Arabidopsis thaliana: one gene and its partner. The protein of the gene in region 2 purifies or fractionates together with the protein of the main gene of each other region. This does not show direct contact. Each region holds a gene or a part of one and is shown on either strand. Other genes may lie near its edges. The genes, in order: SYP51 and SYP21.

Region 1 (4,715 bases), on a different chromosome or scaffold from region 2:
ATGTTTCGGCCAGTGAACTTCTTTCTAATATCATTCCATCAATCTCCTCTGAGAGTTTTAAAGTCTCATTCTGTTCTCTGATCCATGAATCACACAAAGAAGCCATTGACTTTGATTAATCCTACATAATCAAAAATCCAATACAGATCACTTTCAGACAACTTTTAACTTTACCAAGGATGTATATAAATGCAACAATAAGAACAACAAAAATCCAACTAGCTTACAAGAAGCAACAACTTCGATAATGGTATTGGCACATGTATTAAAGGAAGATCGGAGCAATTCAGCAACATATATATCTCTAAAAGAGAATCAAATTGCTCACCAAGGACCTTTAAATAATACATCATTGTCATTGAGAAAGAGATCAACTTGCTGAGTGCTGACTTTGTAGCCACGCAGCCAGACGGCAGTTTCCTTCGAAAGAAGACATCTTCTAAATACGAGACCATTACTTATATGATCGTAGAAAGGTAGGCCTACGTTGACAATTCTTGGCGAAATAAAAAAAGGAACATGCATTACACTATCTCTTGTTTTGCCTCTTACAAATGTAGAGATTAAGAAACAGTACACATGTATAAAATGAAGGATCAGATACGTATTTTGCGAATTTTGTTTCCAGTGATGATGATATGAATATTGGTGTTTTACAAAATTTCCACAATGTTCTTCTTATAACAAACTCAGACAAGTTTCTTCGTGGAAGATTCTACAGATAATTTTTGTTTTTTTGTCTCTGTGTTTGACTTGCTACCACTTCTTAAATCTTTATGAAGACAGCAAAGAGCAAACTGTGATAACTGCACACATTATATATTACTTAAAGGGTTTTGGTAACAGAAGAGAAATGAAAAGCTCAGCCACAAATGTGGAATGAGGAAATACATTGCAACCATTCACATAGAGAGTAGAGGCCAGTGGACCTACAGAGGAACTTATAAGTTGTCTGATGTTGGTATTACATATACTTAACCAACATCCATATTACAACAGCAAGACCGACGATCCCCAGCACTGACAAGAGCATTGACATGCAAGAGCAACCACTTCTCATATTCTTGTTCATGACAGCAAGGCTCTTCTGCACTCTCTGTAATAAGATAACAGATCAATGTCTTTAATTAGCCATTAGCTTAAGCATAATGTGGTTCTTGGTTGAGCAAACCGAAAACAGATCACCATTACATCAGTGTTACTCCTAATGAAAGTATGGATCAACTAAAGCTTGGGATTCACCAAAGTAATTAGTTTGTTGAAATATTTAAGAGTTGAAGCATATATTACCCTTAAGCGAGAGTCAGTAACATCCACATGGTAATCTAAGTCATCCTGCATAAAGGAAAATCCAAATGTGTTAGTATCCGAAAATTCAAATCAAAGGCGAAAAAATGAAAAGCTAGTGACATACAATAAGCCTAGTCTGCAAGTCAAGCTCTTCACTAACAGCCAGAGCAATGTGTTTTGTGCTCATGACTGTTCCCTCCAATTGCTCAAGTCCTTCGTCTTGTTCTACTCACAGGAAAATAAAACATTCAATAGGAAAAAACAAATACAGAAATCAACATCTGTATTACGTTTACTAGGATAAGAGAGGTTTTACCTCTCATAACTTGTCGTTGATATCCAACAATTCCTTGGTTATCCATGCCAGTAACTCTGCTCATGGAATCATCCGGCTTGATATCTGGCCCGAGCAAGCTGTCTCTATTGGCAAAGTTTGACATGTTCAAAGCATTCGCCATCTGGTTTGCTTTTGACCTCAGATTCCCTACCATATCCTTTCGCCGATTCATCTCTTTCTCTGAACTGTGTCAGTAAGTAATAATTCAGATTAACACTAACCTTAAAGGTGTCTAATTTACAGATTTAAGCAATTAGGATTGGACTAGTAAATGGCTTACATAGGTTTTCCATGAATTTCAGCAAGAAGAGACTGCAGACTATCTAATTTGTTACCGAAAATGGTGATCTTCCTTCGTATAGCTGAAGCACGACGCTGAGCATCAGGCCCTGTGACAGCCGATGAACTTCTTTCTGATATCATTCCATTAATCTCCTCAGAGAGTTTTAAAGCCTCGTTGTATGCTCTCATCCATGAATCCGATGAAGACGCCATTATTCCTATATAATTAAAAGCTAATCAAAGCCTGGATCACTTCCATTGAAATTTTAAAATGATCAAGGATATATACGTAAGATCCAACAGAAACAACAACAAAGATCTACAAATTGAGACAAAAACGCGGCCTTTGACTACAATTTTGAGGCACAAGGCTCAAAATCTGAAATTTACAGGATCATGAAGTCCATTATCAGGGGAAGATCAGAGAGATTCAGTAACAGATATAATCCCTCATCAATGACTCGGATTGACAAAAATAACATCGTTTAAAGGATCGAATTGCTTACCAAATTATTTCTCGGACCTTTGTATTCTTCAATTTGTCCGAGCTCGTACCATGTAAGAGATCGGCTTATTAAATGTTGAGTCTGTAGTCGCCGGAATCACCGTGAATCGGAGGAGAATGATTCAACCTGTCACGCACCGGGTAGCAGGGCCCGTCGCAAGAAAGATGAGATAAAGACGAAGCTGAAATAAAACGACGCGGTTTTAACTTGTTATCTTGGAAAAGTTATGGGTTAAATTAGTTATTTAAGAAAGTATGCGTTAAGAAGCAGAAAGAACATATAAATGAAGGGATCAATAAAGAATATTTAAATTTTCGACCCATTATAATGGATCTATCCATCTCATGCCTGTTTCTTCCGTCTCCTCTCTTCCTTGCCAGAATCCTGAGTTTCTCTCTGACTGTGCTTAGTTCCATCATAACTATATCGTTCTGATTGCAGTTTCCGTTTCGATTATCGTTAATGGTGTTTTTGTTTCCGGGAAAGTGATAAACTTTGAAGCGCGATTTTGGTGTTCTAAAGCAAGTTCGAGAAGGGGATCAGAAGATACATTTACAATCTCTCGAGTACGATTCGGTTCATGTAAGTGTTAGCTCTCTTGTTCTTCCTTCACAAAGTTGAATCTAAATCTCAATCCTTTACCTTTTCTCTTCAAAATCATGTTTTGTCTTAAAACATTGAATGTTGATTATTGATTGAATAAGTCTGATCGTTAGTGGCTGAAACTTGTTTTCAGGGAATCAATCGAGCAGTCTATAATCCCAGGTTTGCCTGATGATTTGGCTTTGAGATGCATAGCGAAGCTTTCTCATGGGTATCATGGAGTGCTCGAATGTGTTTCCAGAGGCTGGAGAGATTTAGTTCGTGGTGCTGATTACTCGTGCTATAAAGCTAGAAATGGATGGTCAGGGAGCTGGTTGTTTGTGTTGACGGAACGTTCTAAGAATCAGTGGGTTGCTTATGATCCTGAAGCTGATCGATGGCATCCATTGCCTAGAACTAGAGCTGTTCAAGATGGTTGGCATCATTCTGGTTTTGCGTGTGTTTGTGTTTCCAATTGTCTTCTTGTGATTGGGGGTTGTTATGCGCCTTCGGTGTCATCGTTTCCTCATCAGAAGCCTGTTGTCACTAAAGATGTCATGCGGTTTGATCCGTTTAAGAAACAATGGAAAATGGTTGCTAGTATGCGAACACCACGGACTCACTTTGCTTGTACTTCTGTCTCTGGCAAGGTTTATGTTGCTGGAGGTCGTAATTTAACTCATTCCAGGGGAATCCCATCTGCTGAGGTTTATGATCCTGTCGCTGATAGGTATTTTTTCCCACACTAATGTGGTTTATATTCTCGTGTAGGATAGAACTGGCATATTTAACCCCACAATGTACTCTTTTTGTTTTTTTCTATGATGGGTCAAGATATAGTTTTAAAAGTTTTCTCATGTTTCACCTGAAAAGCTATCAAACTGGAGTATGACATAGTAGTATTGCAGGTGGGAGGAATTACCAGCAATGCCTAGACCACAGATGGACTGCTCGGGGTTATCGTACAGAGGCTGCTTTCATGTTTTAAGTGACCAGGTGGGATTTGCAGAGCAAAATTCATCTGAAGTTTTTAATCCACGAGACATGACTTGGTCCACTGTGGAGGATGTCTGGCCTTTCTCTAGAGCCATGCAGTTTGCTGTTCAGGTGATGAAAAATGATCGGGTGTATACTATTGTAGATTGGGGAGAAAGCTTGATCAAGACTAGGGATACAGATGAAGGGGAATGGTACAATGTTGGTTCAGTTCCTTCTGTTGTTCTTCCTAATCATCCGAGAGAGTTAGAAGCCTTCGGTTATGGGTTTGCAGCTCTAAGGAATGAACTCTATGTTATAGGAGGTAAGGTCCTTAAATGGGAAGAATCAGGGGCAGGGAGATTTGACATTGTGAGATTGCCTGTTGTGAGGGTATGTAACCCTTTGGATAGACCTCTGAATTGGAGAGAGACCAAACCAATGTGCATTCCAGCCGGTGGGTCGATCATTGGTTGTGTATCCTTGGAAGAATCTTCTCCCCCTTAACCAAGGTGATAGAATCTTTCTTGATGTATAAAATTGGTATGTTCAATTCTTTGATTGTTGCATCGTGAGATGTAAAAGTAGTTAAAAGGAACCATGGAAAGCACTTGGTTGTCATTGATATCTTCTGTTGTCTTTTTACAAACAAGTAAGTTCACGTTGTTATATGATCATTTCTTTTACAGAAGTGTCGTTTGGCTTATGTACAAAAATAAGATAGACTGAAATTTAGCATATCT
Region 2 (5,182 bases):
GGAATCCAAGATCCATTCTGGGAACAGTTCTTTTCTGTTGAACTCCCAGCGATTGCAGATACAGACGATATTCTATCAGGATCAGTGGAGAATAATGACTTGGTATTGGAACAAGAACCAAACGAGTGGACCCGTAATGAACAACAAATGAAGTATCTTACTGAACAAATGGGACTGCTTTCCTCAGAAGCACAGAGGAAATAAAGGTAAGAACATCGTTAAGTTCAAACATGTTTCTCTGCATTGTTGTATATCTTGAGAGTTATCAATTGTCTCTCACAATGTAGATTTTCAGGGGAGGTTGCAAAAGGAGATATGAAGGAACGAGGAATATATCAGATGGTGTGTATACCCTTTACATTTTTACTTAAATGAAAAAAAAACAGAGAGAAGAAACATAAAAGATTTACCACCAAGCTTGTGAATAGTTAGTAGAGATCGGTTTTTGTGTTGTTTATATTATACTTTTGTGTGAAAACGTTCATCTTGTTCAATTATCATCTCACTAGTACGGTAATCTGTTGGTCACTGACCGGTTAATGACCAAAAAATCAAGATTATTTTCTTATGTTTATTTCTTTTGATCATGAAGATCCTTATGATGGAGTAATACATTGATTAAACATTCACACGATGAGAAGTTAAGATCAATTTGGTTGAATGGGGAAGATGGAGTATAAAGAATCTGTACATTAGATATATATCTTTAATGGGTCTTTGTATAGTTTCCATAGATTCGCTTGATGCTTGAAGATTGAAGCTTGGAGTTATATGTTTGATGCTTAGACCAAGACAACGATGATGACAATGAGTAGAACAATCCCAAAAATGAGAATAAGTAGGCATGTCTGCAACAAAGTAAAAGACAACAAACTTAGCTTAAGCTGCTAAGAATATGAAATCACAGAACTGAAAATGAGAAGAGAGTCTGTTTAGTCCGTACCAAAGAGGAGTTTGATCTTTGAGTTTTAGCTGCTTTTCTGAGTTGAACAGTGGCTTGTGTAGTTGCAGCATGTGAGTTGTCAAGGTTAGAGCTGATGTCATCTGCCAGTGCACATTATAGTTTTTTTCTGAGACTTTAAAAAGGCAAAGAGAAAACGAACAGGGAGATTTACAATTTCTGATTGTTTGGAGTTACTTACCGACAATATTTCCTTGATGGTTCACCATAAGAGCTAGATCTTTGAACATGCCATTCACATCACGAATCTGGTCTTCAATTTCTCGAATCCCTTGCTCTCTTTCCTCAATAATTGCTTCATTGAATGTTATCTCGTTATCTAAAAACACCACTTCTTGCCTGGAATGAGAATATAAAAAGTTAGCGAATAGCAAGCATCTCCCTGCATCCAGGGACATAACCAACTTCGAAAAATTTATTAACCTATTCTAAGGCTTCTATTAACAATTCAGGCTACAGTGAGTGCCAAGTGTAACGATGGTTTGAATTTGAACTCTCGAGAGCAAAATGCATGCTAGACTAACATTTGGTTTATGCTTATAATTGATCAAATGAATTAGTAAAATAACATGCTAGCATATAATCAAATCACACTCCTCACCTTCTTGATTGTAGAAGAAGAGCTTGCTGCTGGGAGATCCTTAAAGATTCAGTATCCAGTTCAGGTGCATTATAACTGCATGGTGTGGCATGACAATGAAGCATGTGTAAGTGAAACTCACATTCCACAAAATATCAGAACAATCCTACGTTCAAAAATTCTTTTGTACAAAACAACAATAATAACATGCGAGTATATAATCCGGAGACTTTTTTTCTTCTCATTTAGGAAACAACGAGATTCATTTACCATGATCTTCTGTTTTTTAACAGGTATTGAAACATAACTGGTCAAAGTGGTTACCTGGTAGGTATTTCTTTTGTGACCACAGGAGTATATGTTATTTCTCTTTCAGCTGCAAGTCTCTGAGCTTTCTGAAACTCTTTGAGAACTGATTGGAAATCTTTTGCCAGTTTAGCATCAGCTATCTTCTTAATTTGCTGCAAGAATACAAACATAACATCAAAACTAGAATACACATATCATCAATCATGTAAACAATTCTCCCACTAAATGAATAAAATGGTACGATTCTGACAAAATTAAACCAAAATAAAACTGGTTCAATAGAAAATGTTCTCTTAGACACTAACATTCCATAGCATCGTAAGGGAATGAAACAAAAAAGTAAGCATTTGCTTACACTAGCTGATCCATGAAGGTCGGCTTCGCTAGCTTCCTTAAGTTTAGCTGAAGTATTCTTCACCAATTCGGATATCTGTAACCTTGTCTTTTGCCTGCCAACAAAAGAACCTAACACTTTAAAACAATTCACAGAACAAATAGATGAAACCAATCTAAAAAAAAAACAATTTCTCAATACACACACACACACACACACACACAAAAAGCTCATTATTTGCAATGTTGTCAGGCATTATTTGCAATGTTGTCTCACATCGATCAGCAAACTCAAATTTGTTCTTCGGTTAAGGGAAAATAATGCAGGATTAGCTTCAAAACAATTAGAAAACTTTTTCAATTAAAAATTGAAATGAAATCGACCAAAATCAATAAGTAAAACCAAAACCCTAATCAACAGAGATTTAACAAAGAGAAGAAGAGTGTGATTAAGAATTGCTACTGACAGCTTATCTCGTAATTCAAGAGTATCTTTAGGTGTTCCGATCGAATTAACGAGGCGGAAGAAGGAATTGACAGCCGTGCTGATCCTGAAAATCCCGGCGGCGACCTCCTGAGATGGATCCCCACGAGACGAAGGTCTCTGTTGTCTCCCACCGGTAAAACGATTCGGCGCCGGAGATCGAGTACCAGCTTCGAGATCTTGGAAACTCATCGTCTCTTCTCTCGAATCTCTCGAAATTCTCTTATCTCTATCTCAGGGGAACAAACGAAGACGAAGATGATGGAAATGAGTTAGGTGAATTATAAGTTTTCCCAAAATTTAATGTTAATTTTTGTTTTATAATTTGTATAAATCATTTAATCTCATGTGGTCCGCGTGAATATGGTGGTGGAGGGAATTTATTAATACGTATAAATTATTTGGCGGTGACACGCCATTGCGAGGGAAGAATCCTGCGTGTCGTTGTTGACCTCACCTGCCCTTCCGTGTAAAATTGAAACTCGGTTCGAGTAAACCGGACCAATTGAGTGGGTTTGCAGGATAAGGATTGGTTAAATGATTTTGGGCTACATTGGAGTTTAGTAAAAGGAAAAGAGAAGAGTTGGGCCAAAAACAAGGAGAAGTCCAACTTTTTTGTAATTACCAAGTTATCATATTTTATGACTGAATTAATAATTACAGTAATCACTTTGATACATAAACCACTTTTTATAGAAAAACAATGATATATTTTTGTTGATAAAAAGTAAAATTTTTATGTATTTTTTTCTAATAAAACATAAACTTAATAATTGTGTTACGAAACTCCTAACTTTTGTTTTGAACTGAAGAGGGAAAAAATAGAAATATATACTAAAAAAGTGAAAATATTAATTGTTGGAAACAATTAGGGACTAAAATAGGATTAAAGGGCGTAACGCAAACCCACACGTTGAGTGTGAGGTGTCATATAAAGCAAAATACACTCTTCCCTCTCTATCTATCTACGCATCATCGATCTCGAAGTACGTTTCGGTTTTCAGGCCAATCTCTGAATCTGCGTGACAAAAGCAACAAATTACATATCTCTCTCTCTGCGCGACTTCGAAGATCAACATCCATGGCGGTATGCTCTACTTTTTTTTTGTGTATAATTTTGTTTTATGCGGAAAAGGTTTAGGTTTCCTCTGCTGGTAGATATTGTTGCGATCCATTTGTTTATCGGGAAATTTTCTCAGGATTGATATTTTTGGCTATTGATTTGATTTCTTCTTCAATTTGGATGATCTGTTGTTTGATTGCTGCACTTGCCGACATAATATCTCCAATGCTATTTGGACGAGTTTGATGATTATTATTGTCGTTATTAATTGATTCTGTATCTCTGTGTGATCTGTATTCGTGCAATTATCTCTATTATCTCCTTGATTTCTCGGTTTTGGTTTTCGTTTATCGTAGTAAATCGCGATTGTGTTATTCTCAATTTGGAACCGAATCTCGCTAGCCAATTTACTTTTAGATTCCTCCATACATTGTCGATTAGTTTCCTTAATTGGTAGCCTTCATGGTTCATTCGAGTTTTCTTTTTGTATAGTGAGATGATGACAGTCATCTTCTAAGCCACTATAATATTATCCCTTTACTTGCATAATTGTATAATCTTGTGATAAATCTAGGCTTCTTTGAGTTTGAGCTGATTTGATTAAAATGGGACTTTCGGTCGATTAGATATGCTTGGATACAAAAAGTAGTTGTACTGTAAACATTCTCATGAAACACCTGTTTATTGTTTTCGTTAATGATTCTTTCCCTTTTGATTCTTTATGATGACAGTCACAGGTAAGGTCAGTAAAAGTTGGCAATCTCTCTTCAGGAGCAACTGAGCATGATATTAAAGAGTTTTTCTCTTTCTCTGGTGAAGTTGAAAGCATCGATATCCAAAGGTTAGTGATATTGTTTCCTTGTTCTTTGATTTCAAAATTTTGACATTTAAAGCTTTTTTTGATCAATTAACTTCCGAAGCTTTTTCTCAGCAAATTTAGATACAGTTCTCTTAAACTTACTGACTCTGAGCTTTGTTTTTGTTTTCTTTTTCTAACTAGCAGTAACGAGCATAGTGCTTATGTCACATTTAAAGAAACTCAAGGAGCAGAGACTGCTGTGCTCTTATCTGTGGGTTCACTCTTATCTCAATATTATTGTAGTAGCATTCAACTCTTACATAACACTGTTAATTTAGTAATCAATCCATGTCTATAAACCTTCGTTTAATATGGTTATACTTCTCTAGTCCAGACAAAGTATCTCTGAGTATTTATAAGTAAAATTAGTTTGCTTACAACTAATATTTGGGACCATTTGCAATTTGCATTACTAACAAGGGGTGTTATTTCAGGGAGCGAGTATTGCCGATCAATCAGTCATCATTGAGTTGGCTCCCAACTACAGTCCACCAGCAGCCCCTCATGCTGTAATGTCTTCTTCATACTGTTTTTCTTCTTTTTGATTAGTGAAAAGTATTCATCTCAACACTCAATAGAGCAGTAATTTCGTA

Evidence for each region.
Region 1: the proteins of SYP21 (region 2) and SYP51 purify together in Arabidopsis thaliana (affinity purification with western blotting; 2 studies listed by BioGRID, with this or other methods). This does not show direct contact.

The regions. Positions count from the first base shown.
Region 1 is NC_003070.9:5,554,219-5,558,933, forward strand, and holds SYP51 (syntaxin of plants 51), read right to left. Parts: upstream 2,627-4,715; 5' UTR 2,416-2,626; intron 2,397-2,415; exon of another isoform or gene 2,233-2,396; intron 2,143-2,232; exon of another isoform or gene 2,128-2,142; 5' UTR 2,123-2,127; coding exon 1,908-2,122; intron 1,813-1,907; coding exon 1,607-1,812; intron 1,516-1,606; coding exon 1,415-1,515; intron 1,336-1,414; coding exon 1,291-1,335; intron 1,097-1,290; coding exon 965-1,096; 3' UTR 625-964; downstream 1-624. Other genes in the region: AT1G16230 (Target SNARE coiled-coil domain protein), read right to left, coding at 1-106; AT1G16250 (Galactose oxidase/kelch repeat superfamily protein), read left to right, coding at 2,996-2,997, 3,152-3,727, 3,906-4,479. UniProt on the Arabidopsis thaliana protein: Vesicle trafficking protein that functions in the secretory pathway.
Region 2 is NC_003076.8:5,532,294-5,537,475, forward strand, and holds SYP21 (syntaxin of plants 21), read right to left. Parts: upstream 3,003-5,182; 5' UTR 2,860-3,002; coding exon 2,651-2,859; exon of another isoform or gene 2,300-2,650; coding exon 2,206-2,299; intron 2,003-2,205; coding exon 1,866-2,002; intron 1,638-1,865; coding exon 1,563-1,637; intron 1,301-1,562; coding exon 1,143-1,300; intron 1,045-1,142; coding exon 944-1,044; intron 849-943; coding exon 783-848; 3' UTR 553-782; downstream 1-552. Other genes in the region: HSF3 (heat shock factor 3), read left to right, coding at 1-204; BPA1 (binding partner of acd11 1), read left to right, coding at 3,749-3,754, 4,462-4,571, 4,731-4,800, 5,024-5,098. UniProt on the Arabidopsis thaliana protein: May function in the docking or fusion of transport vesicles with the prevacuolar membrane.